Linked DNA regions of Alligator mississippiensis. The protein of the gene in region 3 purifies or fractionates together with the protein of the main gene of each other region. This does not show direct contact. Links are inferred from orthologs where the notes say so. Each region holds a gene or a part of one and is shown on either strand. Other genes may lie near its edges. The genes, in order: AP2S1, ITSN2 and EPS15L1.

Region 1 (7,012 bases), on a different chromosome or scaffold from region 3:
GTCGAGCTCACAGACATTGTGGAAATATTCATTCAGGACCTGGGAGGAGGAAAAAAGACAGTGGGAGTCGGGGCCTGATTTGTGCCACCTGGTGCCACGAGACCGGCGTGCCCTCCTGTTCAACTCAGCCCAGGGGACCCTGCTTGCCCCCCTGCTGCATCCAGCCGAGATCCGACGGCAGGGCTCGGGCACAGCTTCTACCATGAGGTGCCCAGAGACGATGAGATTTGAAGCAACCCAGGGCACCGGTCATGATGGTTCGTTGCCCTCCTTGGAGCTTCACCCCCCAGCCCCACCGCATGGGACGCAGGGCAGGAAACGGGTCTTTTGCAGCCAGCAAAGCCATCAGCGGTTGCTCAGAGCCCAGCGAGTGCTAGGTGGGGCTTTGCTCTGCTCCCTGTAACCCACAGACCCGGAGGAGCCTCGCGGCGAGGGACAGGAGCTGCTGGCTGGCCCAGGCACGCACAGAGGGAGATGTGGACAGCCGGTCAATCACCGAGGAAGGCTCCATCTCCCTGAGGAACCGTCCGAGAGCCGTGCCCCCAAGACCAGGCCCAGCCACCTCCTACCAGCGCTCACCTCCACGAAGTTGTGGATGGCTTCCAGGTACGCCAGGTTGTTGTCGTTCACGTCCACGCAGATGCAGAAGTACAGCCCCGCGTAGCGCCGGTAGATGATCTTGAAGTTCCGGAACTGAGGGGAGAGGACGACGGTGGAGGCTCCACCAGGGGAGCAGACGGCCTGGAGGAGACCCCTGCGCCCCCAGGTCCTCTCAGTTGCCTTCCTGTCAGGGAAAACCCTCACCCCAGCTGCACGCAGCAAGACAGCAGCAGAACCCAGGAGCTCCCAGTCCCAGGTAGCCGCTCTCGGTGCCAGCCGACGTTCCCTCCCCCTGCCTCTGGCTCCTCCCGCTACGATGGGAGACTTTGGAAGCTCATGCCCGCGGTGCAAGAGCAAGCTGCTGTCAGCCGCACGGCGGGGCTGGGCCAGGATTCCTTGGACGGGTTGATCCACCCACATCAAGGTGGATCTGGCAAGGAGCCGACACCTTCACGTCCCGCCCACCCCCTCCCCAAGTGTCGGGGGCCGTGACACGCCGGCAGAGCGGTACCTCCACGAAGTTGGTGTGCTTGGCATCCCGCACGGTCACCACGGCGTGAACCTCCTCGATGAGCTTCTGCTTCTCGTCGTCGTCGAACTGCATGTACCACTTGGCCAGGCGCGTCTTGCCGGCCCGGTTCTGGATCAAGATGAAGCGAATCTGCGTGGAGAGCGGATGAGGTCAGGCTCCATCGCCTGGGTCACGGACAACAGCACGGCTCGAGGGGTGCAGACCCTCAGGGGAGCCCAATGCAGTGGGCAGGGCGGGTTGCCCCCTCTCAGCTGCCCCCTTTGCTGCAGGGGGTCTGGCTCCTTCCCCTCACCCACCGACCCCACCTCCCCGCCGGCAGAGCAAAGCCAACCAGGCCTCTCCTTCCACCCAGCTGCTCGCAGAGCGATAGGGGAAGGAAGAGCCGCGCTGCAGGGGAACGCCCCACAGCAGAGGCACCAGGGCAGCTCAGGATGGCTTGGGACAGAGCCCTTTGCAGGCAGGAACGCCGGGGCTCTGCCCTGCCACAAGCCCGACACCCGCGATCTCTCCTCTCCCACCAGGAGCCCAGATCTCGTGGAGGTCCCGTCCCCCAGCCACGGGGCTCGCCGTCCCCTGGAGCTGTCGGGCCCCGCACCGCCGCACTCCTGGCGGGGTCGGCGGGGGCAGAGAGGAGGCTTCCTGGAAGGAGCTGCCTCCCCGCCAGTGCGCGCTCAGCAGGAAAGGCCACGAGCTCCGTTCTGCTGAGCGGGGGGAAAGGGCTTCCTCAGAGGAAATCCTGACCACAACCCAGCCCAGAGCTGTGTTTGCCACCCCCACTAGGAACCAGCGGTGGGACCCCCAACACCTCAACCTCCAGATACTTTGCCCCGTGCACCCGAAGGTCCCATTAGGAAAAAGCCTCCACGGTGCGAGCGCTGGCGGGCATCACACCGGGCACCTCCCAGCTGCAGGAGCCCGGGCACCGGGGGTCCGGTGAACCCGTGTCGGGAGATGGACCGTCGCCGGCTCTATGCCACGTGCTCTCCCGCTCCTCGGGGCAGCCCGGTAACCCTGCAGAAGGGCTGGAAGGGAGCTCCAGGGGTCACGTCCTGCCCAAGGCAGGGTCAGCCCCGTCCCAACCAGCCCAGGCAAACCCAGCGTCGAACCTCCGAGCAACACGACCGTCAGCCCTCGCATCGCCCCCGAACCTCCCCCGGGAAAGCGGGGGGGCCGCGGCTGGCAGCGCCGTCAAAGGCTGTTATCAAGAGATGGCAGCGGAGGCCGTGCCCCTGCTGCAGGGGCGGGCAGCGCCGCCCTGTCCGCGCCGCTCTGCGCGGGGCGAAATCCCTGCCTCGCCCCAAACGCGGCATCCGTCGGAGCCCGAGCACAGCGGCGAGGCCCTCCAGGATGGACCCCGCGGGGTCGAGCGCCCACGGAGCACGGGCGCAGCCCAGGAGAGGGAAGAGACCCCGTCCCCGGCACCCGCGGCACGTCCAGGCCACGCGCTGCAGCGTCCCCGCGCCCACGCGGGGCAGGGGGCCTGCACCCCTGGGGGACTCCGCCGAGGCCAAGGGCCCACAACCGGCGCCGCAGCCCCGCGGGGGCCGCCCTTCCACGGCCCACCCCAGAGCCAGCCGCACACCCGCACACCCCCCCTTGACGTCCCCCCACACGGCCGGCTCCCACGCGGACACGCACGGGCCAGGGGCTGCCACTGGGGGCTGCTGGCTGGGCCCCCCCCACACCCCTCCCCTATAGGGGGCACTTGCCCCCACCCCTTCCCTATAGGGAACCCCCACCTTCCCTATAGGGGACACCCCTTCCCTAGAAGGACCCGTCTCTATAGGGGGCATTTCCCGCCCTATCCCTATAGGGGACCCCAGCTCCCACGGAGCCCCCACTCACCATGACGGCCCGACCCCGCACAGCTGCTCTGGGCCACTGCCTGCCCCACTCCCCACCCCACCGGATATCCGGCGGGTGCCCCCTCGCCGCGGGGCCCGCCGGGAGTTGTAGTTCCAAAGGAGGCGCGCACTTCCGGGGGTCCCTCCTCCCATGCGAAGCCGCGGGGCTTGCCGGGAGTTGTAGTCCCCACCCAGCCCCGCCTCGCCGCCGCCAGGGGGCGCTCGAGCTCCAGGCGCCGCGCTCCGGACTGGGGCGGCTGCCGCCGGGCGAGCGCCCTACTCGAGGCCGCGGCTCTGGGAGGCCTCGCAGGCCGCACCCGCCCTGGGCCCCCGGCCCTGCCTGGGGGCTCGCAGGGGCCGGTGCCCCCCACCCCAGAGACCAAGACCGACTTCGAAATCCGGGACCGCCCGCGACGCCTGGCCACCCTACATCGAGTCCAACCCCGCCGGAGGGAGAAGGACCGGCTCTATCCGAACCACCCCGACAAATGCATCGTGCAGCCGCTTCGCCACGCCGGGCTGGACCTGACACCACGCCAGGCTCGGAGCGGCCTCGCGCAGCCCGGCAGGGCCAGCACCGCGGCAGAAACGTCGGTGTCCGGGGCTGGCCGGGCGCTGCGCGTCGTCCGGCTTCCTGCTCCGCTCCAGCAGCCCAGCCCCTGCGCCGCGCCGCGCCGCGCCGGCGGGGAGTCCCCCAGGGCCCAGGGCAGGAGGGGTCCTAGGACACGCGGCTGAGCGGCGCCGCGGTGCAGACAACACGTCCTCTCTCGACTGTCTGTGGAGCTGTTTGTGCTGCACGAATTGCCGGCAGGAGCGAAGGACTGGGCCCCGTGCTGGGGCTTGTGAAACCGCAGTTCCCAGAGGCTTTCCAGCCGCCCGCAGCCAGGCTGGGCTGCCGACGGCATCCTCCGTACGCCTCCCTCCGGCCTCTCGTGCCCGTGGGCTTCCCAGAGGGCTCGGCCGCTCTCTGGTCTCAGCAAAGACCAGGCAGTGCCTAGTGCCAAGTGGCTGGGGCGATGCTGGCAGTGGGGTGGAGCGGTAGCCCGCCCTGCCACGCGGGGAGCGGCACAGGACAGCGGGAGAGGTGGACCCGGGGTCCCAGCCGTCGGGGTATCTCTGACGCAGCAGAGTCTCGCGCAGCAGATTTCAGCACCTTGCTCCTTCCACGCCCTGCCCGAAGCATCGTCCTCGGCCTGCCGGTCCGGTCGGTCCCGCTTGCAGCTCAGCAGCTTCCCCCCCTTGTTCTGTTGTTTCCCACGCCCCTGCATCAGGCGGGTGCCCAGCAGGGCCGTCTCCTGCGCGCACAGAGGAGCAAAGACTTGGACGAGCCGGCGTGGGGATGCTGTCTCCTTTGGTTCCAGATTTCTCTGGGACTTTTGCTGGCTGGAAGAGTCTTCAGCAAGTTACTATCCTCTCAAGGATGCTTTGGTCAGGCCACAGCTCCAGTTCCCAGCTCTGCTTGTCATCGGGGAAGTCATTTCCTCTCCCGGAGCCAAGCTTCCCCACTGTGAGATGGGGATAAAGCCACGCCTGTCTCCAGTGGGGACCTGCGAGGAGAACCAGAAATAGCCTCCCTGAGTCACCGGCGGCCGTCTGAAGCTGTGATTATTTCCCACCGAGCAGGGGCTGAGTTTACAGAAGGCTCAAACCGCCTCGCCAGGATGCTAGACCACGGAGGAACGGGGCTGGAGGATGAAGCGCCCTGCTCTCCCGATGGGCGATCTACAGCTTTCGGGCGCTGCCTCTTCTCTAAGTGCTGGGCTCTGGCGTGCGCCCCAGAGGCATCTCCCTCTCCCAAGCTTTTTGATACTGCTTTGTAAAGGTATTTCAGGGTCTGACTCGCATGAAACCCATAGGAACTGAGTGCCTCTGAGCCTGGCCCGTGCAGGCGACACAGGTATTGCATCATTTGACCCTCTGTGGACAGCTGGGCAGCACCGGGCGGTGGCAGATACCCATCCAGGTTAGACTAAATCTCACATCAGGCATCGTGCCTCATACTCCAGCTGGGGTTTCTTGGCCATCGCAATCCCGGCAGCTCTCCTGTCCTCTAGGCGACCCGCGGACCCGGCCACTTCAGTGCCTGGCTGGAGAGGCGAGCTGCCAGGAGAGCACTACCACGGGTCCGTGCCTTTTCCTTCCTGCCTCCCAAGGGTGAAAAGCAGCTCCCAGGCGTCTGGGCTTTGCTGGTTGCCGCATGGGGCTGGAAGGGAAACCAACCCCTCCGTCACGCCCCCCTTACAGTGAGGCCCAGGGAAGCTGTGGACTCTCCACCCCTGGAGGGGCTCCAGGGGAGGCTGGGCAGCCACTGGCTGGGGTGATCTAGGCGTAGCGATGCCCATGCTCCACTATGGGGATGTCCCGGGCTTCTGGGCTTCGCTGGTTGCCCCCCTCCACGATGTGCCGGGGGGGTTTAGGCCTTCCTCAGAGCCGCTGGGTGTTGGCTGCAGCCCAGGCTGGGGATGGCAACTAGCCTGTGCCAATGTATCTGCAGGGACCTACGCCTGAGGGTCCTGGCTAGAGGGTCTCACCTTGCTGCTCAGGGTCAGACTGATGCTGCATTTGGGAATTTTCTCCCATAGTCAGACTGGTACGGACTGGGGGGGCTTTGCTTTCTTCCGCAGTGGGGACGTGGCCTCAGCCTGGGATCTCTCTGGTGTATTTGAACAGCCTCCTCCAGCAGCAGGACATCGGGTGTCGTGGTCCCCCTGCCTCACCTGGAGCAGGTTCGGATGCGATGTCTGATGCTGTGTCAAGGTTGACGGTAGTTTTCCAAAGAGGTTTGGTGGTGGATTTGTCTGGGCTGGTTCAGACGGGGCTGATCCTGCCTCGGGCAGGGCCTTAGACTAGACGTGACCTCTGCCTACCCCACCACGCCAGGATTTCTATGGAGGGTTTAAAGGGAAAAGACGTTTTTGGTCGGTTCCCCCTTCTGCCCTGCATTAGGAGTGCCGGGCTTGCCCAGCCGGATTCTCTGTGAGGCCGACTTTCCTACGATCCTGTGTGACACGACACACATACCATTGTAACCTGCTTTGCTGGGCCTGGCGCCGGACCCCATGTCCTCAGCGCACACGGGTGGATCTAGGGTTTTGAAAAGGGGGGTGCAGATAGTGTCAGCCCAGATGACAGGACAAGGAGCAATGGGCTCAGGCTACAGCAAGGCAATTTGAGGTTGGATATTAGGAAAAACTCTCTCACTGTGAGGGTGGTGAAGCACAAGAACAGGGTCCCCAGGGAGGTGGAGGAGTCTCCATCCTTGGAGGTGTTTAAGACCCGGCTGGACAAAGCCTTGGCTGGGATGATGTAGTTGGGGCTGGTCCTGCTCGGAGCAGGGGCTGGACTAGAGCTGACCTCCGGAGATCCCTTCCTGCCCTCGCTGTCTGTGATCACAGCTAACACAACACACGCCTTTCTCCACTTAGAGAGAAACTAGAAGCTTTACTAATGCACTGGGGGCCCAGCGCTGTATTATTCAGTGTGTGAGCAAAGCAAAACACAAACAGCACTTTACTGAAGTGCAGACTCATTTGCTAGCTTCTATATTAAGCTTAAAAAACACAACAAACTAATAAAAAAAAAAAAAAAAGGGGGCCAGAGCTATTGTCTCATTCGTCCTGCAGTCATAAATAATAATGAAATGCACGTCTCTCAGCCAGATTTGTAAAGCAAAATCTTGCCGCCTGGAGCATCTTGTGCGTGCCTCTGGTGCTTCGCTGTCAGTCCTTTCCATACCTGAGCTAATGTTCCCCTGAGGGCGTGTGACCACACCTGAGTTCAGGGGATGATCCAGGGCAGCAGCGCTCAGCCGTTGGCTCGTGGGCCAAAGGCGGCTTGTGGAGCCGTCACGTCCAGCCCGCCGGGCTCTCCACCGGTCAGGAAATTTGGTGGTGGGGGAGTGATGGCAATTAATACGGCCGCCCTCCCCGCTGCCAAACTCCCAAACCCTGCACATCTGTGCTCCCTTCCCCCCATGGGACCGAGCCATGGCTGGATTGGGATGGTCCATGCCTCCCCACAGCTGGATCGGGATGCC
Region 2 (7,510 bases), on a different chromosome or scaffold from region 3:
GTCACCACGCTCATGTGTGGGAAACATGAGGGCCAGAAAGCCAGCAACAGGTAGAGAAGGTGGATCTGCATGCTGTCTCACCCTCCCCAGCTCTCAGAATCCACACATTTGCAACTGTGCATGCCCCCCCAGGGTTTGCCCCAGACCTGTACACCACTATCCTGCACTTAAAAAAAAAAAAATCTAAATAACTGTTTCTATCTTGGCCTAACACACAAATGAGTGACACTTATTATTAGTTGTGGCATGTATCCTTATAATTCAATTTTACAAGCCAGTCAAGTAATAGCACCTATCCCACAGAGTTTATAATCACAGAAAGAAAATACAATAAGGTTTCTAGACTGCATTTCAAGGCAAAGAGGTGACTAATGAGCAGGTAGGAAGGACGATGGGAAGGGGGAGAGACCAGCTGAATAACAAGGAGATTGTTCCAGACATAGATACAGGATGACTGTAGATACAGAAACCAAGATTGAGAAGAGACTAATTAAGATGAAAGACTTGGGGAGAGTGGAGGGAGCAGGAAGGGAGGAGTATTAAATACTGTTTACAATGATCACAGATTCTTTTTCTATTCTTACTACATTATCTCCAGCTGAGCTAATGCTTCTCTGTAGAGAGAACAACAAAATATGCCTAGATATTATGAAAATAAAGGCTCTAGAAATACTTAAAACAACCAGATCTTTCATATTTTTCAAGTCTTCAGTGCCTTCCCTTTGAAATTTAGTTGGCTCGCTGCCTGCAGTCAGTCAGCAAATCCCAGTTATAGGCAGCACAATGTTCTGAAAGGTGATAGGTGTAAATCCCTACTGTCAGCTGAACAGATCATAGATAAAATTGTCCATTCTTTGAAGGAGCAGAAGGAACAAAATTATCTAATGCCTCTGGTGTACTTCATAGTTTGGCTCACTTCCTCTGCAGTATTGGTGCTTGTCCAGACATGCTAGAAACCAGTGATTTGCTCTTCCGGTCCAAAACCCATACCTTTTCCGTGACCAGATAGTATCTTGGATTAATGATAGCCAAATCCCTTCAGTCATGTTCTTAAACTAGGGGCACCAACCTTATAGCGGGCTGGATGTGTGGCACGGTCAGCATGCCGGCCAGGTCCCATGCAGGGTTGGCATGTGGGATCCAGCACACCAGCTTGATCCCCACATGCCTGGATCCAATTGCGCACTGGTGTGATCTAGCATGATCTGGTGCACAGGGCCATGTTATCTGGCACACGGAGCGCCACATGGGTCTGAAAATTTAGCAGCAGGGGGTGAACAATTAATGATACCACCACTTCCCCACTTAGGGAGCCCTTCTGGCTGGATTACATAGATCTGTGGGCTGGATCTGGCTCACAGGCCAGGAGTTGAGCACCCCTGGCTTAAACAATTTAATAGTGAGGAATAAACAAAGATATTGATAAGCAGAAATTGATTCCAGCTGTATGGAAAGACTTCCTCACCATGACCCACAGCTTGTATGCAGGTCATAAATTGCTGTCTAGTGGATAAGAGAGGTTGCCTTACTATTGAATTTAAGTAGCCAGAAAGAAACAACTGCAGAAACGTTTGCCTGGGATCTCCTGAGCCCATATTTACAAGAAAAGCAGCAGGACACTCTTTGCTGTGATTCCCTTGTGTTACCAGTAGCATGCTAGGGTGTTAGGTCTATGCGGTGTCAGGGCTGATGGTAGTCTTACACAGAGTTATTGTATAGTGTGGCTCGGATAGGGATCATCCTGCTTCAGCCAGCCCTAGTTTTCTGTGACTCTATGAAGACTTAATTACCCAATTACTCAAGGGTGCCCACTTCTCACAAGACAACCGCTCTCTCTCCCATCTCTCGGTTCTAATCCTTAAAGGCAAGTCTACAAACTTCACTTCATCAATCTACTGGATACAAAAAAAAAAAAAATCATGCACTTAATACAGACATTGGATTTACCACACATTATAACCTGCCTGCCATCCGATAACCCCAGGTAACCTGTCTGCATTTTACCAGCTCCGTTCTATCACCAGATCAACATCCTCCTTCCCCACAACTTACCAGTCTCACACCTATTGTCCCCCATTCCCTCTGATCCTCACTGCCACGCATTTGCATTTTCACAAACCTGAATTTTGCAAATTGGCTTCTATTCTACCCAGGACAGCACACATCATACCACCAGACTCCCTAGGCTGAAGAAGGGTGTTTGTGCCTGAAAACAATTTTCCCAACTATTTAGTTGGTTTAGTAAAAGGTATCACACATCTACCCAAAGAACCTTGCCTGCCTATGAAGACTTGAATTTTAGTCAGTTTTGGATTTTAAACTTCATTTAACAATGAGAAAGATTTCTAAACTCCCTGCTTGCCATCTGACACCTCCAGGGAAGGAATCGTACCTGATCTACACAACCAAGAGCAACTCAGAACAACTCACAAAGACACGCTCATAGATCCAGAGGGACAGATTTCCATCTTCCGCACCCTCTGTCTGTGCAAAAGTGAAGTTTATTTCCTACCTATTGGGAATTTTCACTATCTTTAATTTTCCCAGAGGCCGACAAAGGGCATTTGACGTTTATTTTTGGGGCTGTCCTTGCTCGCAGAAAAAGATTAATTTTGCCCCACCCGAAAGCTCGCAGAAAAAAGATGAATTGTGTCTGCGATTTTCTCGTTGGTCTAATAACAGGTCTCATCTCTGAACTAAGAGCTCTAGATTTTTGCATTTCTTTCCGTCTCGGGCTACCAAATGCATCCTACGAAGACCTGAAGCGCATACAAGTGCCAGCGTCCCAGCAAGGAGGAAGGGCGCAGACACCTCCCACCACTGCTGTGGTGCAACTAACCCCGGGTTTTACTCCGCAGCAAATCCTCTGAAGCCGGAGGCGGGCAGGCAGGCAGGCGGCTCTCCCCGGGGCTCCAGCCCCCCAGCTCTGAGCCAGAGACAACAACGACGAGGAGAAGACACGTGCTACCGTACTTAGTTTGCACGGGTCCCGCTTGCTTTACCAGAGAAGGCAGCGACCCGCACCTGCTCCCCCGTGGTCCTCCAGGAAAGACCGCCCGCGCCGAGCGCGCTCCTCCACCAGCGCCGCCCCGCAGCGACAGCACTCAAAACTCCCCAGCTCCGCACCCCACTTCGTCCCAGCCAGGGGAGGGTTAAAGACACTTCATCCTCATTGGCCAGCACCCTCTTCTGCCCCGCCCACTTCCCTTGTGACACCCACGGGGCGGAGCCAGCAACAGGTGATTGGTCGACACCATTTCCTCAGCTAGCCGGGCTGCGGCGCGCATGCGCATTGGGCGTCGGCGTTCTACCGGGGCCTGCGTGACCGGTACCGGACAGAATGTTCCGCCGGCGTCCGCGTCACTTCCGGGGTCGCCGCCGGGTGCAGTCCGCCAGCAGCGAGGAGGAGCCGGGTCCCGGCGTCGAGGGGGGGGAGGAGCGGCAGCGGCAGGGCCCTGTCAGCCCCGACCCCGGTCCCGGTCCCCCGCGGCTCCCGGAAGCGCCGACGGTGAGCGCGAGGGGCCAAGAGGCGGCGGAGGACGGAGGCGAAGGCGGGGCCCGGCAGGCGCGGGGGGGCAGGGACCTGCTCAGCTTCGGGAGCGACGAGGAGCGAGAAGGTAGAGCCCCCCCTCCCCCACTCGCCCCGCAGGCGTCCGGGCTTGGCCCCTCTGCACCTTACCCGCATGGCGTAAGTTGCTGGTGGAGCGCACAGTTCACATGGACTGGCCCCACGGGCCAAGTCGGGTGATAACCACGTCTGTCCTGCTCCCCCAAGAGCCGGGTGGCAACAGAATTAGTGCTTGGAAATGTGTAGCGGCTCCGGAGGTGGTTTCCAGCCAGCTTTCGGTTGAATGTGCATCTCAACCCCAGGGGCCGGGCAGAGGGAGCGGGCGAGGAGGCCTGTGGGTCCGACATAAGGTTTGGCCTCATGCTTGCTCGTCCCATGCCAAGTGTCTGCTGCGTACCAATGACTGCCTGACTCCACGCGACGGAAAGTATCGCGGGAAATGCCCCCTTAGACATCCGTGGTGCATCCGCACCTTGAAAAATGTGCCCAGGTCTGGTCCCTGCACCTCACAAAGGGTATAGGAAAGCTAGAGACGGCGCAGAGAAAGGTGGCGAGGACGATCGGTGGTGTGGAGGGCTTGTGTGAGGAGGGAGGAAGAGGCCAAGCTTGACTGAGTTTAGAAAAGAGGGGTTTGAAGGGCAACATTAAGAGTTTACAAAATGCGAAACAACGCAGAGAAAGTCGCTAGGGGTTTGTTATTGACTGTCTCACAATACAAGAAGTAAGGGTCACAGAATGACGCCAGGTGGTGAGATTAAAAGTAATGAAAGGCAGTTCTTTCTCTCTCAGCCTGTAACTTCAGGGTGGAACTCATGGGCGCCTTTTTGAGCTGTCCTGGCTGCCGATGGCGTTTCTTCATGGCTTCGTTATTCACAAAATCGTGAAACAGTTCCTCGGCATTGTTTCAGAAAGCTTTCTTTAAGTCCTCTCTGTCTGTAAGCACTCGCCCTTCCTAGCTATAGCTACAGCTGCAATGTAACTTGGCTGTGTGGAAAGAGCACGTTTAGTTACAAACTTAGAAAAGCTGGGGGTCTGTTTTTTTCAAGCGAATCAGTAGCTTGTCTGATGCACTCAAATTTGTCTGCTTCATTGACTCCAGAAAATTTGGCTTAGTGCTTGGTTGTGAAATGGCACTGGATGCTGAAAGTACAAGATACCACTCTTTTACTACACAGGCCACAAACAACATGATCCCCTTTCTGCACAAAACCATACAATTCTCTCCACGCTGGCTGAAACGTTCAAGTATCCAACTTGGGTTTTTGCTATCCATGACTAAGTACATATAGGCCTCTTAACCAGTTTAAGTAGTGCAAGGGTTCTCAAACTTTCTTTTGCTGGACCTCATTTGAAAATATTTTAGGCTGTGGCAAATAGAGATGTGAACACTTAACCATTCACATACTGATAATTGGTAATGCTGTACGAGTTATCCTTTAGCTTGGGGCGAGGAGCAGTCTGGTGAGGGAATGGGAGAAAGAGAAGTGGCATCATGCCCCGGAAGGTGGCAAGACAGGTAGAAGGGAGTGGGGACTTAGTATGGCAGGGAAGCTATGCAGCTGTTGGCAGCCTGCCTGCTGCCTGTGCTGCCCCAGGCCGCTTCTCTACCATGTGCTCTGAGGCATGTGTGCAGCTGCCACCACTGCCACAGAGCCAGTGCTGGAACTCTGGAGCTTGGTGCAGTTGTTTGCAACCTCCTAGCTGCCTGCTGCAGCTGCCTAGAGCCTGGGTCACCTGTGGCTGGCACCTGGGAGGCTGCAAACAAGCTGTACTGGTCTTGAGTATGGATGGGCTCAGTGGCAGCTGTGCCTCAGCAACCCCAGCTCTTTCCCATCCATGCATTCTGCAGCCCCTTCCTGACCCTACACCCAGAGACACGTGTGCAGCTGTGGCTGCTAAGGAGCCCGGTGCAGCTGTTTGCAGCCTCCCAGCTACCTGCCATAGGCAGCCTAGGCTCTAGGCAATTGCTGCCTGCCACGGAGCATGGGCTGCATGCAACACAGCTTGCAGCTTCTCAGCCGCCTGCTGTGAACAGCCCAGGCTCCGTGGCCAGAAGCATCTGCCCAGAGCCCAGGCCATCTGTGGTATGCTGAGCAATATGGCCTTGCGTGCCATGCTCTGGCATATGTGCTGGAGGTTGCTGATTCCTGTGTTAGTCTATGATTAATCTTAACTGTGATATAATTTGTTTTCTATGTTTTCCTCTCTCTTCCTTATTGTGGTTAAGTCCAGACATATTCTGTCTGAGTTAGTACTTAATGTTGCCTATAGTTAACCGTTAGTCTTGTTTCAAATCCTAAAAGGGTTATTTGAAGATTACTGCGTTTGTAGAGGCAGCAGCAAAAAGCAGTTTTTTTTTCCAAAAGACTTTAGGCCTTGACATAGCGTTTAACAGTCTGGGGTTACTTACCAAATGAAGGGCATAGACTACACCACATTGCCTGGCTACTGGCACTGTACAGGAGCCTCTCCAAGGCCTGAAGGCAGAAGTTGTGGACCTGGATGCAGAGGCAGACCAGGCCCTGTCTGCTGTCCCACAAGGGGAGGCTCAGGACATCTGCAGAGACCCAGTGCTGTTCCAGCCAGAAGAATCCCAGCATCCATCTCTGGAGACTGGCCTGGTGGGACAGGCGTTTCCTCCTCCTCTGCCCCTGTGGGGGCAAAGGTCCAGCAGAGCACTGCCTGAACCACCCAGTGCACTACGTCCCCCAACACCAGGAGAGGGGGAGATACAGCCCCTTGTGGTGGGGAAGGGGGTAGCACAAGGGGTAGCAGGACAGCTGGCGGTGGGTCTGTGCAGCATCTCCCTCAGGGTTTTTGGTGGGGACCCTGCTTCTCTCCTGTCTGTACTGGGGTTGCAGGATGTGCTGGAGGTTGTAAGATATGCTGGAGTCTGTGGCAAGGGTGGCTTTGATTGGGGCTGGGGGAGACAGTTCAGGCACCTGGGTGGTGATGGTGGGCTGTAGGTCCACACACAGTGGTGGTAAGAATAGCAGGAGCCTACAGCAGCTCAGCAGGGCTCCTTCTGATTCCTGGCCCAGCAGCAGCCAGGGGAAAGTGGTGGCACCCCTCTTTGGACACGGGGCACTGGGCAAAATGGTCCCATTCTCTGACTCAGGAAATAGCAGTTCTTATGTTCTATGTTCTCATATCTGCTGTGCTTGTGACTTAGGATGTGATTTGGAATTGCAGTATTCACAAGTGTGACAGGGAGCGAGGCCAGCCTCATAGTTGGCCCACCCACCCGACTTTTCTGCCACGGCTTTGTTGGAATTAAATAGTTGTTTTTAGGCAGGAGGCTGCCCCTTTTGTGTCCTGATGCCAAGGGCGTAATACATGACTCTGAACCATTCCTACACCATGTCTCATGCCTCACAGATGGCATCTAAAATGACTTCCAACTCCCCTGGCCCCTTTGCTGGGCTGCACTTGGCCTCCAGCCCACAATTGGCCTCAGGTGTCCTCAGATGTACCTTGGCCTTTTCTGCCCCCCTCACTGGGGCCACTACTCTGGCTGACCTATGCGCAGTCCTTCAGGCCCCCATGGGCCCTACTCCACGTGGCCTCCAGCTTTCACTCCACCCCCTCACTGGGGCCACAATTCTGCCCTCTCACTGGGGCTTCTGGGCTTTATACCTGTTAGGCCTCAAGTGTCTGTTGACATGCCTGGATCCCTAATCTGTTCCCTCTATGGGGTTACCCACCAGGTGGTGGGGGCTGAGGCTATATGGTACCTTGCACTGGAGAGGCACAGGTGTAGCATTTCCTGGAGACCACAGGCAGCCCCACCACACCATCTAAACCCAGCAGGGTATAGTTTCATATCTTATCCAGGACCAGGGACCTTTTCTATCCCTACGGTTCCTAACCTGACCTCCAGATGTCCTGAGAGCAGCAGTACTCAGGTCACGCGATGTTCATTCTTTGGCTCCCCAGTTGCAA
Region 3 (7,540 bases):
CATCCCGGTTTTGTTAGGCTTATGAAACTGAGATCTTTGGCATTTGGTGATTTAGGCTCCTGGCAGATGTTATATTTAATATGATTGCTAATTAGCCAGTTTGTGCAATTAACAGCACAATGAAACCAAATAAGACACAAAGTTATTAAAAAAAATATATGCAATACCTTTGTAGCTGGTGTCCTTTTTTCCCCTTAATTGAATATGTGGCTAGCGCTGAGTAGCTGACTGGCATTCCCAGCCATGGGAGGAGACTTGAGCACCCAGCTTGCTATTTACAGGATTAGGGGGAGCCTGGGATTGTGGTCTTGGATGCGTCCTGCACTGGCAACAGAGCAAGGTTGCATTCCAACTCCCCAATCCTACTATCACACCTCCTGCCATACACGTGTTGCATGGCAGGAATCCCAATTGCTGGGATCACAGATCAAATTCTGTCACACCTTTAATGACATCTGCCAGGGACCTTAGCAAATGAGGCTTTTCCTTTTCTGACAGATTAACTTGTTTAATCTTTTAACAAAGGATAATAGGTATATTTTTCTTTCTTTCTTGAACTGGTTGGGTAATGTCTCTTGCACGTATTATATAAAGTTGTGTTAATATTGCTATCTTCTTTATTATATATTTTAAAGGATTGGGATGAACCTGAATACATTCCAGACACTAGTGCCGAGAGATCTAAAGACTGGAACAGTGTGACTGATGGAGAATGGCGACACCCTATGATCAAGAATCCACTGTACAGAGTAAAATCATTCTAGTCATGTATAACTTCTTTAAACTGCTTGTTCTTTTGGCCAAAGGTATCAAGAATCATATGGTTTGTTGTAGGGTGAATGGAAACCAAGGAAGATTAATAACCCTAATTATAAAGGAGTTTGGCCCCATCCACAGATTGACAATCCAAACTACTTGCCAGACCTCAACATTCTCAGCTATGAGAACATTAGTGTCATTGGACTAGATATTTGGCAGGTCAGTTGTTTTAAATTCCTGCAGGTAACTAGAAATTAAAGTACTTATTCCATTCCTTGCCTCTACAGAGGTGTTTGTCGAACTTTTTTCTGTAAATGTCACTTAATGTGTAGGAAGGGTAGGGGTTAGCTAATACCTGTGTCAGCCTGCCCCCCCCCCCGCTTTTTAACTTGCCTTCATTTAAATATGTAATTGGCTGTGTTTTACATAGAAGTCAAATATTGCATTAAACAGATCTAATTAAACCACTGCTCTAATGCTGATGACTTCAAGATTTAATGAAAAATGAGGGAATAACATTCTTGTGTTTTCATATACTTTACTAAATGTGACTCTTCAGTGCATACTTTACTTATGCTCAAGTATCGTATGATGATAGGTACATATTTTTTTCTTCCAAACTAGTAATCCAAGCTACTATGGACAAATGTGGAAGTAAAAAAATGTCTAGAGTGTCCAACTTTCATTTAAAGAAATGACAGGGCCTTGTATTCTGGAGTACAATTCTGGCATTCATGGGACTATGTGCAAAATGTAGAATTCAGCAGCATCCTATATTTTAAGTAATTAAAAGGAATAATCATGTTCCCTGACAATATAGTTTTAGCTTAACTTTTTCCACCCAACCTTCTCTCCTTCCATTCAAGGTGAGAGCTGGAACAATTTTTGATAATTTCTTGATCACAGATGATGAAGAATATGCAGAAGATTTTGGATATGAAACCTGGGGAGAAACCAAGGTAATGAATTAAATCCTTGTCCCTATTTTAGCCACTCATTATCAAGTTAAAGGATTGGAGTTATGTAAAGGGGTCTGTCTTACGCTTTTTATTGAGTCAAAGAAGGAGTGTCCCCAGACACAAACAGTATAAAAGACAACTATTAGGCTGCTTTTTTAGGATCTCCCCTCAAACCCTTGTAAAAGGAATGTACAGTTCTGTGGAGGTTCCAAATAGGACTGCAGTCCATGAGAGTGTCCTAATAAATTGCCAGAGGTCTCTAGCCCATAGAGCAGCTCAGGGTCAGGAGAGAGAAAAAGTTGCTCAAAACCAAATGGACTGGTTCTCATCTCTTTCTGAAACACTTGCCAAGCATACAATCTGTGCATAGAATAATGAATCTTTGTTTAAATGAACGTGAGTTTGTTGGCTATACAAGTATCAAGTTCTTATTCCAGCACAAGCCTAAGTTACCGCATGTTTTAAAAGCAGCTTCTTTGCAAAACATTGAATAAATATAGTACCTAGAATCTTCCTCTGCAGGGGCTAGTACTGTCTTATGCTTACTTCTGAGTTGCTACGGCACCCAAAACTGGCATAAAGCTGAGCTTTTATAGTCACTCCTGTCTTGGTGCACTCACTTTTCCCTCCCGCAAACCTTTGCCAGCCACAAAAAAACTTGAAAAATCTTGGATGCCTGTTACTAATAAAGGCCTTAATCTTGCAATTCCTCTATAAAGAACTCCTTACCATTGACTTAAATGTAAAGCTCAATGAACAGAAGGCCTTGCAGACTTGGACAAAGAAAACCCCTCCATGTCCTTTTCTCTTTAGGACCCTGAAAAGGTGATGAACATAAAACAGGCTGAGGAAGAAAAGAAAAGGGAAAGGGCAGAAGAAGAAAAACGCTTCAGGGAAAGGTTTAACAAGAAGGTAGAAAAGAAAAAAGAATCAGGAAAGAGTAAGTTAGGGAGGAATACTGTCCAGAAGGAAGAGCTTTAATTCTTATTTGTGAAGTATTTGTGGAACTATCGGAAAGGTTTGCTTTTTTTTTTAAATCTGCTGTAAAGGTTTTGATGTCCTGTTCCCTCCTGCTACCCTCCCTTAGTAACAAGCACTCAAATACTAGTTAAAATTTGTTTTGAGAGCCTGGCTAAAATATTATTAATTTATCAATTTTTTTTTCAAATATTTTATTAAGTCAGGCTTCTTAGTCTAAGAATGTTAGATTGAAATGGAATTCAATAAAAATACCAAATGTATTTCTCAATGAAGGGTGATTTCTACTCAGTGGGTCTCTACAGGGGAAGCTTTACTGCACAGTAGACTTTGAATGTGTTACTTTTAGTGTTGACTTTGCTTCTCTGAAGATGGACTATCCGGTCCTCTCACTCCCAAAGGAGGCCTTTCACTATCGTACTCTGTATCAGCTGCAGAAAGACACAAAAGCCTGTGGCAGAACACTTCAGCCTCCCTGCCGACTCCACTGCTGACCTCAGGATTGCTGTTCCCAAGCGTGAAAAACCCAAACAAACCCCAAAACAAAAATGAATAACCCATTTGAATGGGAAATTGTGGGAACAAGAAATCCATCACAAACTGGTCTGTTAGGTTAACCTAAGTGAAATCTTAGTTTCTAAAGGTGAATATCTGCCCTCCTTTCTGACTGACTTCTGACTAAAATGACTACCTGGCTCCCTGTATCCATCATGTTTCCTTTGCAGATCTACCAGAGGGATCTTCCCTTCAGGTAGCTGTTACTTTCTTTTAAGGAACAAAGCTTTTTGAAGGGTGGGGAGGGATGGAGAAGCAGGGGAAGAAGCCTGGCCTATCTTATCTAAACACTTGCTATCCCTTGCTAATTACCTAGCCTAGGCTAGGGGTTGGCAACCTATGACTGGTGGAGCTATTCTGGCTGGCCTAAAATGCCACATCTTCATCTGCATGGTGCCTGGACAGCAGGAAGAAGTAATAGGAGTGGCATCAGAAAAATAATCCCAGCCTGCTGCTCCTGAGGTGTTGCTGACCTGTGACTTAGAGGCATCTAACTTCAGATGCCTCTAAGTAGGTTTCCCACATCTTGTTCAGAGAAGCCAGAACAGCTGCCATATCTTGTGAACACTGGTATTGTCTCTTATTCTCTGGCAGTTCCAGGCTAATGCTGTAAAAATAAATGATACGTTGTAAAGCAAAGAGTTAAGTGAGTGAGTCTCTGGTGTTGTCCAAAAGCTGAAATTCAGATTGTTTTATTATCCAGGAATTCAGAAACGCAAGCAGTGGAACTTGCCCTAATAATCCTCAGTGTAATATCTTGACTGAGTTACTTCAAATGTTTTCTAGTAACAGCTCATGAACAGTGAGACAGGGGAGGAGCTGGGGGTAGACAAGTCGGGTAACGAGCGTGGCGGGGGGGCACTGGCATTTGAAGGGGGAGCCCGGTGTGGAGACTGGTCTGACTGGCGGGGGAAGGAGACTGATGGACGGGGTGGGCTGGCTAAGGGGCAGACCAGCAGGGGAGTGAGACAGCAGAAGCCCTGGGAAGGAGTCTGTGTTGTAATAGAAACCGAGGACACGTCCATGCAAGAAGAGAAGTCAGCAGGAAGGTGTGACCCGCGCGGAGCAGGCGGAGCAGTGAGACGTGCATGCACTTGACCTCTCGGAGGAGCAGGCCGACCGGGGCTGCTGGGGAAACAAGGGCCGGCTTGTGGCTCGGGCCTCGGCCGGGCTCCGCTGCAGGTCGGACGAGCCGGCCGCCTGTCCGGGCAGCGCGCGCGAGAGACAGAGCCCGCCCCGCCCCGCCCCGCCCCGCCCATCGCTCGCCCCGCCCCCTGGCCGCCCCGCCCCCCGGCCGCGGCCCGAGTCCGCGGGAGGAAGATGGCGGCGCTCATTCCTCTCAGCCAGCAGGTAGCCGGCCCGGCGCGCGGGGGCGCGGGGCAGCGGGGGCGCGGCGCGGCCACCTGAGGCGGGCGCGGGTGAGGGGCGCTGGCGCGCGAGAAGCCGGGCCCGGGCGGCTGCTCCTAGTTCGCGGGCACGTCCGGCTGGTAGGGCCGGGCCGGGCCGGGCCGGGCCGGGCCGGGCGCCACTGCCGCGCTGGGCCGGGGCGGGCTGCGCTGCGGCTGAGCCCGGGGGCGCCGGGGCACCCTCGGCTCCCCGCGCGGCGCGGCGCGGCCCGGCCCGGCCCGGCCCGGGGAGGCCAGGCTGGTCCCGGGGAGCCGAGCGTGGGGCGCGGCGGCGGGCGGGGCAGAGCCTGCGCCCGGCTCGTCCCGGGAGTGCCGGCTGTTTCGGCTTGGCGCCAGGGCCTCCCCGCGCCGGCCTGGCACCTGCTGCGGGGGCGCCCTGCTTCCTCGGCCGGCCCTGCGGCGACGGGCAGCGCTGCGCGGCCTGGGCCCCCCGCCCCGCCCCGCCCCGCCCTGCCCCTGGCAAGGCCAGCCCCGCTGTACAGGCTGCGCTGAGGCTTGGCATTCTTGCCTGCCCGCATCTTGTTCTGAGCTGTTTAATTATTTTCTTATCCTTTAAATAACAGCGCTGGCATTGCTTAGTGCCCGGCCCTCCCCAAATGTCATCTAACTGATATTCTGTGAGAGCAAAAAACTACCCCTGCCTTAAAAGTGAGATGCTTTTCGGCACTGTGCCAGGTCAGTCAGGACTGCGGGAGCCGACGTGCCCTTGGTATGCCAGACATACGTAAAAGCACATCTTTAAATCTATTTCTTATGAGAGAGAGTTCTGAATTCAACCAGCATCACGTTGTATATTGAGTGTCCACTGCCAGAAATTTATCTTCATAATGCAATATTTGAGAATCCATAATAAGAGTTACCAATAAAACATTATACATTTTGTTTTTGATTAAATGCTAGTCTCTTATTTCCAGTCTTGAGTTCAAAATTATGCCTTTCTCCACTAGTTTTTGGGGATACGCAAAACTGTACTGGAGAATAGCTTTGTAGCAATCCCCTCAGACGCGTGCGTTTTTGCCAGAGGTGAAAGCTTTTCAGTCCACAATCAAAATGAGTCCTTTTTTGTTCAGAACTTATAAACCTAAAGTAAATTTTGTTTGCTGGATTGGGTTCCTGATCCGAAATCATGTAAGTCTTGATAATTTTTCAAATGTTTCAAGCGCTGTTTGGTCATTGATCATACTGACTGTTTCTGCCACCTTGATGAATCTGTTTAGCAGTCAGAATATTGTTAATTATTATTGTTCTTATTATTTGTATGCAAACCACTGTGCTATGCAAGCCTACATGTTCCTTGTACTGGACATAAGTAATGAACTTGCACTCACTATTGCTGTTTAAAAATAATAGGAAGTCCAGTGAGCTTCCTGGTAAAAAAAAATTAGGCATATGTGTACTGATAATCAGCTTAGGAAATAGCATAAAGGTGTGCTGAAAACAGGCGTAAGTCACACTTTCAGGAGTTTTGCCTTTTTTTGTTTATGGTCAAATTGGGTGCAAAACTTGTAATCTGTCCATTGTGTCATTTAAAAGGACTATAAAACATTTTCTTTTTGGACATTAATCAAAGTTAATCAGACCTAAAATTAAAGATAATTGGACGTATGTTTAGCCCAGCCACTGGGGCTGCACAGGTAACTGTACTGAAGTTCAATGCAGCAGTCTAACCTTGGTGGATTATTTTTGAGTGTACATCTATCCTGGTCTATCTTAGACCTGATTCCACCTTTTTAGACTAGTCTGTATGTACTGGACTTCTATACTGTTACAGGTTTAGATTGATTTCCAGTCACTGAGACTGGGTCTAAGTGTAAGATCCATACCTGGGCAAACTAAATTGGATTGGGTGCTCATTTTTAAAACAATTTAAATTGGATCAGCTCCTCCTCCTCCTGCCCTAGCTGTGCTGCTCCGGTCAGCAGGTAGCACATGGAAGCGGTGGGGGATATGTGCCAGGGGGCAATCCGCAGCTGGGTAGCTCCCACCTCAGCATGTGGGGCTCCAGCTTCCAGCCCCCTTCCACCCATTCCGCCTGCCCAGCATGATGACCAGCCACCCATGGGTGGCCAAGCGGGTGGAAGGTGGCCAGGATCTGGAGCCAGAGCACCGCACGATGCGGCAGGAGCCTCCTGGCGCAAAGTGAGTATGGGCAGGACTGCGACATGGGCTGCCCTGGGTGGGAGTGGTGGGGCTTGGCCCCACGCATAGCACCACAGGGGCAGCCGTGGGCCGGGCAGAGGTGCACCATACCTGCATTGGCACCATACCGCCCATGTGGGCTCTGCTCCGTGCTACTCCTGCCTTCCCCCACCTCCGGCCGTATCCCAGGACCCAGCACACAGGCAGCTCCACGCAGACATGCACATTCTCCCCCCCCATACCCATACACACACCCTACTCCCCCAAACACAATATACAAGAGTACGGCTTTATTTTGAGATATTATGCAATCATCTCTATATACACTACTCAAAAAAACATAAATCAGGGCAATTTTTTTTTAAATTAAAATATGTTATAGTAGATGTTTGATTTTTATATATGATTTTTTAATCTATAATTTGTTAAAATGATGTCTTCCAAAAGATTTTGTGTACTCACTAAAACTCGTTAAGTGGCCCGCCTGCCAAAATAATTGCCCACGCCTGTCATAGTATTACTATAACATTCCTAATAAATCAAGTCTTATTACAGTGTTATGGCTATTTTATACATTTAGGTTCTTGCTCTTGAAAATACATGTGCAAAATTAAGCTTGTGAGTAATCACAAAAAGTTTAAATCAGTAAGGCTGCTCTTGTTGAAAGTTAAGTTATGCCCATGAGCTTACAGGACCAGGTCTAAGGAGCATTCATATAAAGTCATATAAAGATTTTGTGTAAGC

The links.
Region 1: the proteins of EPS15L1 (region 3) and AP2S1 purify together in Homo sapiens (affinity purification with mass spectrometry; 4 studies listed by BioGRID and IntAct, counting the BioPlex papers as one, with this or other methods). This does not show direct contact. The link is inferred for Alligator mississippiensis from reciprocal best matches to the Homo sapiens genes EPS15L1 and AP2S1.
Region 2: the proteins of EPS15L1 (region 3) and ITSN2 purify together in Homo sapiens (affinity purification with mass spectrometry; 5 studies listed by BioGRID and IntAct, with this or other methods). This does not show direct contact. The link is inferred for Alligator mississippiensis from reciprocal best matches to the Homo sapiens genes EPS15L1 and ITSN2.

What each region holds. Positions count from the first base shown.
Region 1 is NC_081838.1:647,879-654,890, forward strand, and holds the start of AP2S1 (AP-2 complex subunit sigma), read right to left. Parts: upstream 3,083-7,012; 5' UTR 2,981-3,082; coding exon 2,978-2,980; intron 1,262-2,977; coding exon 1,112-1,261; intron 694-1,111; coding exon 580-693; intron 40-579; coding exon 1-39. UniProt on the Homo sapiens protein: Component of the adaptor protein complex 2 (AP-2). Adaptor protein complexes function in protein transport via transport vesicles in different membrane traffic pathways.
Region 2 is NC_081824.1:15,602,981-15,610,490, reverse strand, and holds the start of ITSN2 (intersectin-2), read right to left. Parts: upstream 3,092-7,510; 5' UTR 3,025-3,091; exon of another isoform or gene 3,003-3,024; intron 2,959-3,002; exon of another isoform or gene 2,840-2,958; intron 683-2,839; exon of another isoform or gene 1-682. Other genes in the region: intron Large complex component GCFC2, read left to right, coding at 3,341-3,617.
Region 3 is NC_081839.1:339,591-347,130, reverse strand, and holds the start of EPS15L1 (epidermal growth factor receptor substrate 15-like 1), read left to right. Parts: upstream 1-4,534; 5' UTR 4,535-4,571; coding exon 4,572-4,601; intron 4,602-7,540. Other genes in the region: CALR3 (calreticulin-3), read left to right, coding at 636-749, 835-978, 1,626-1,718, 2,532-2,699.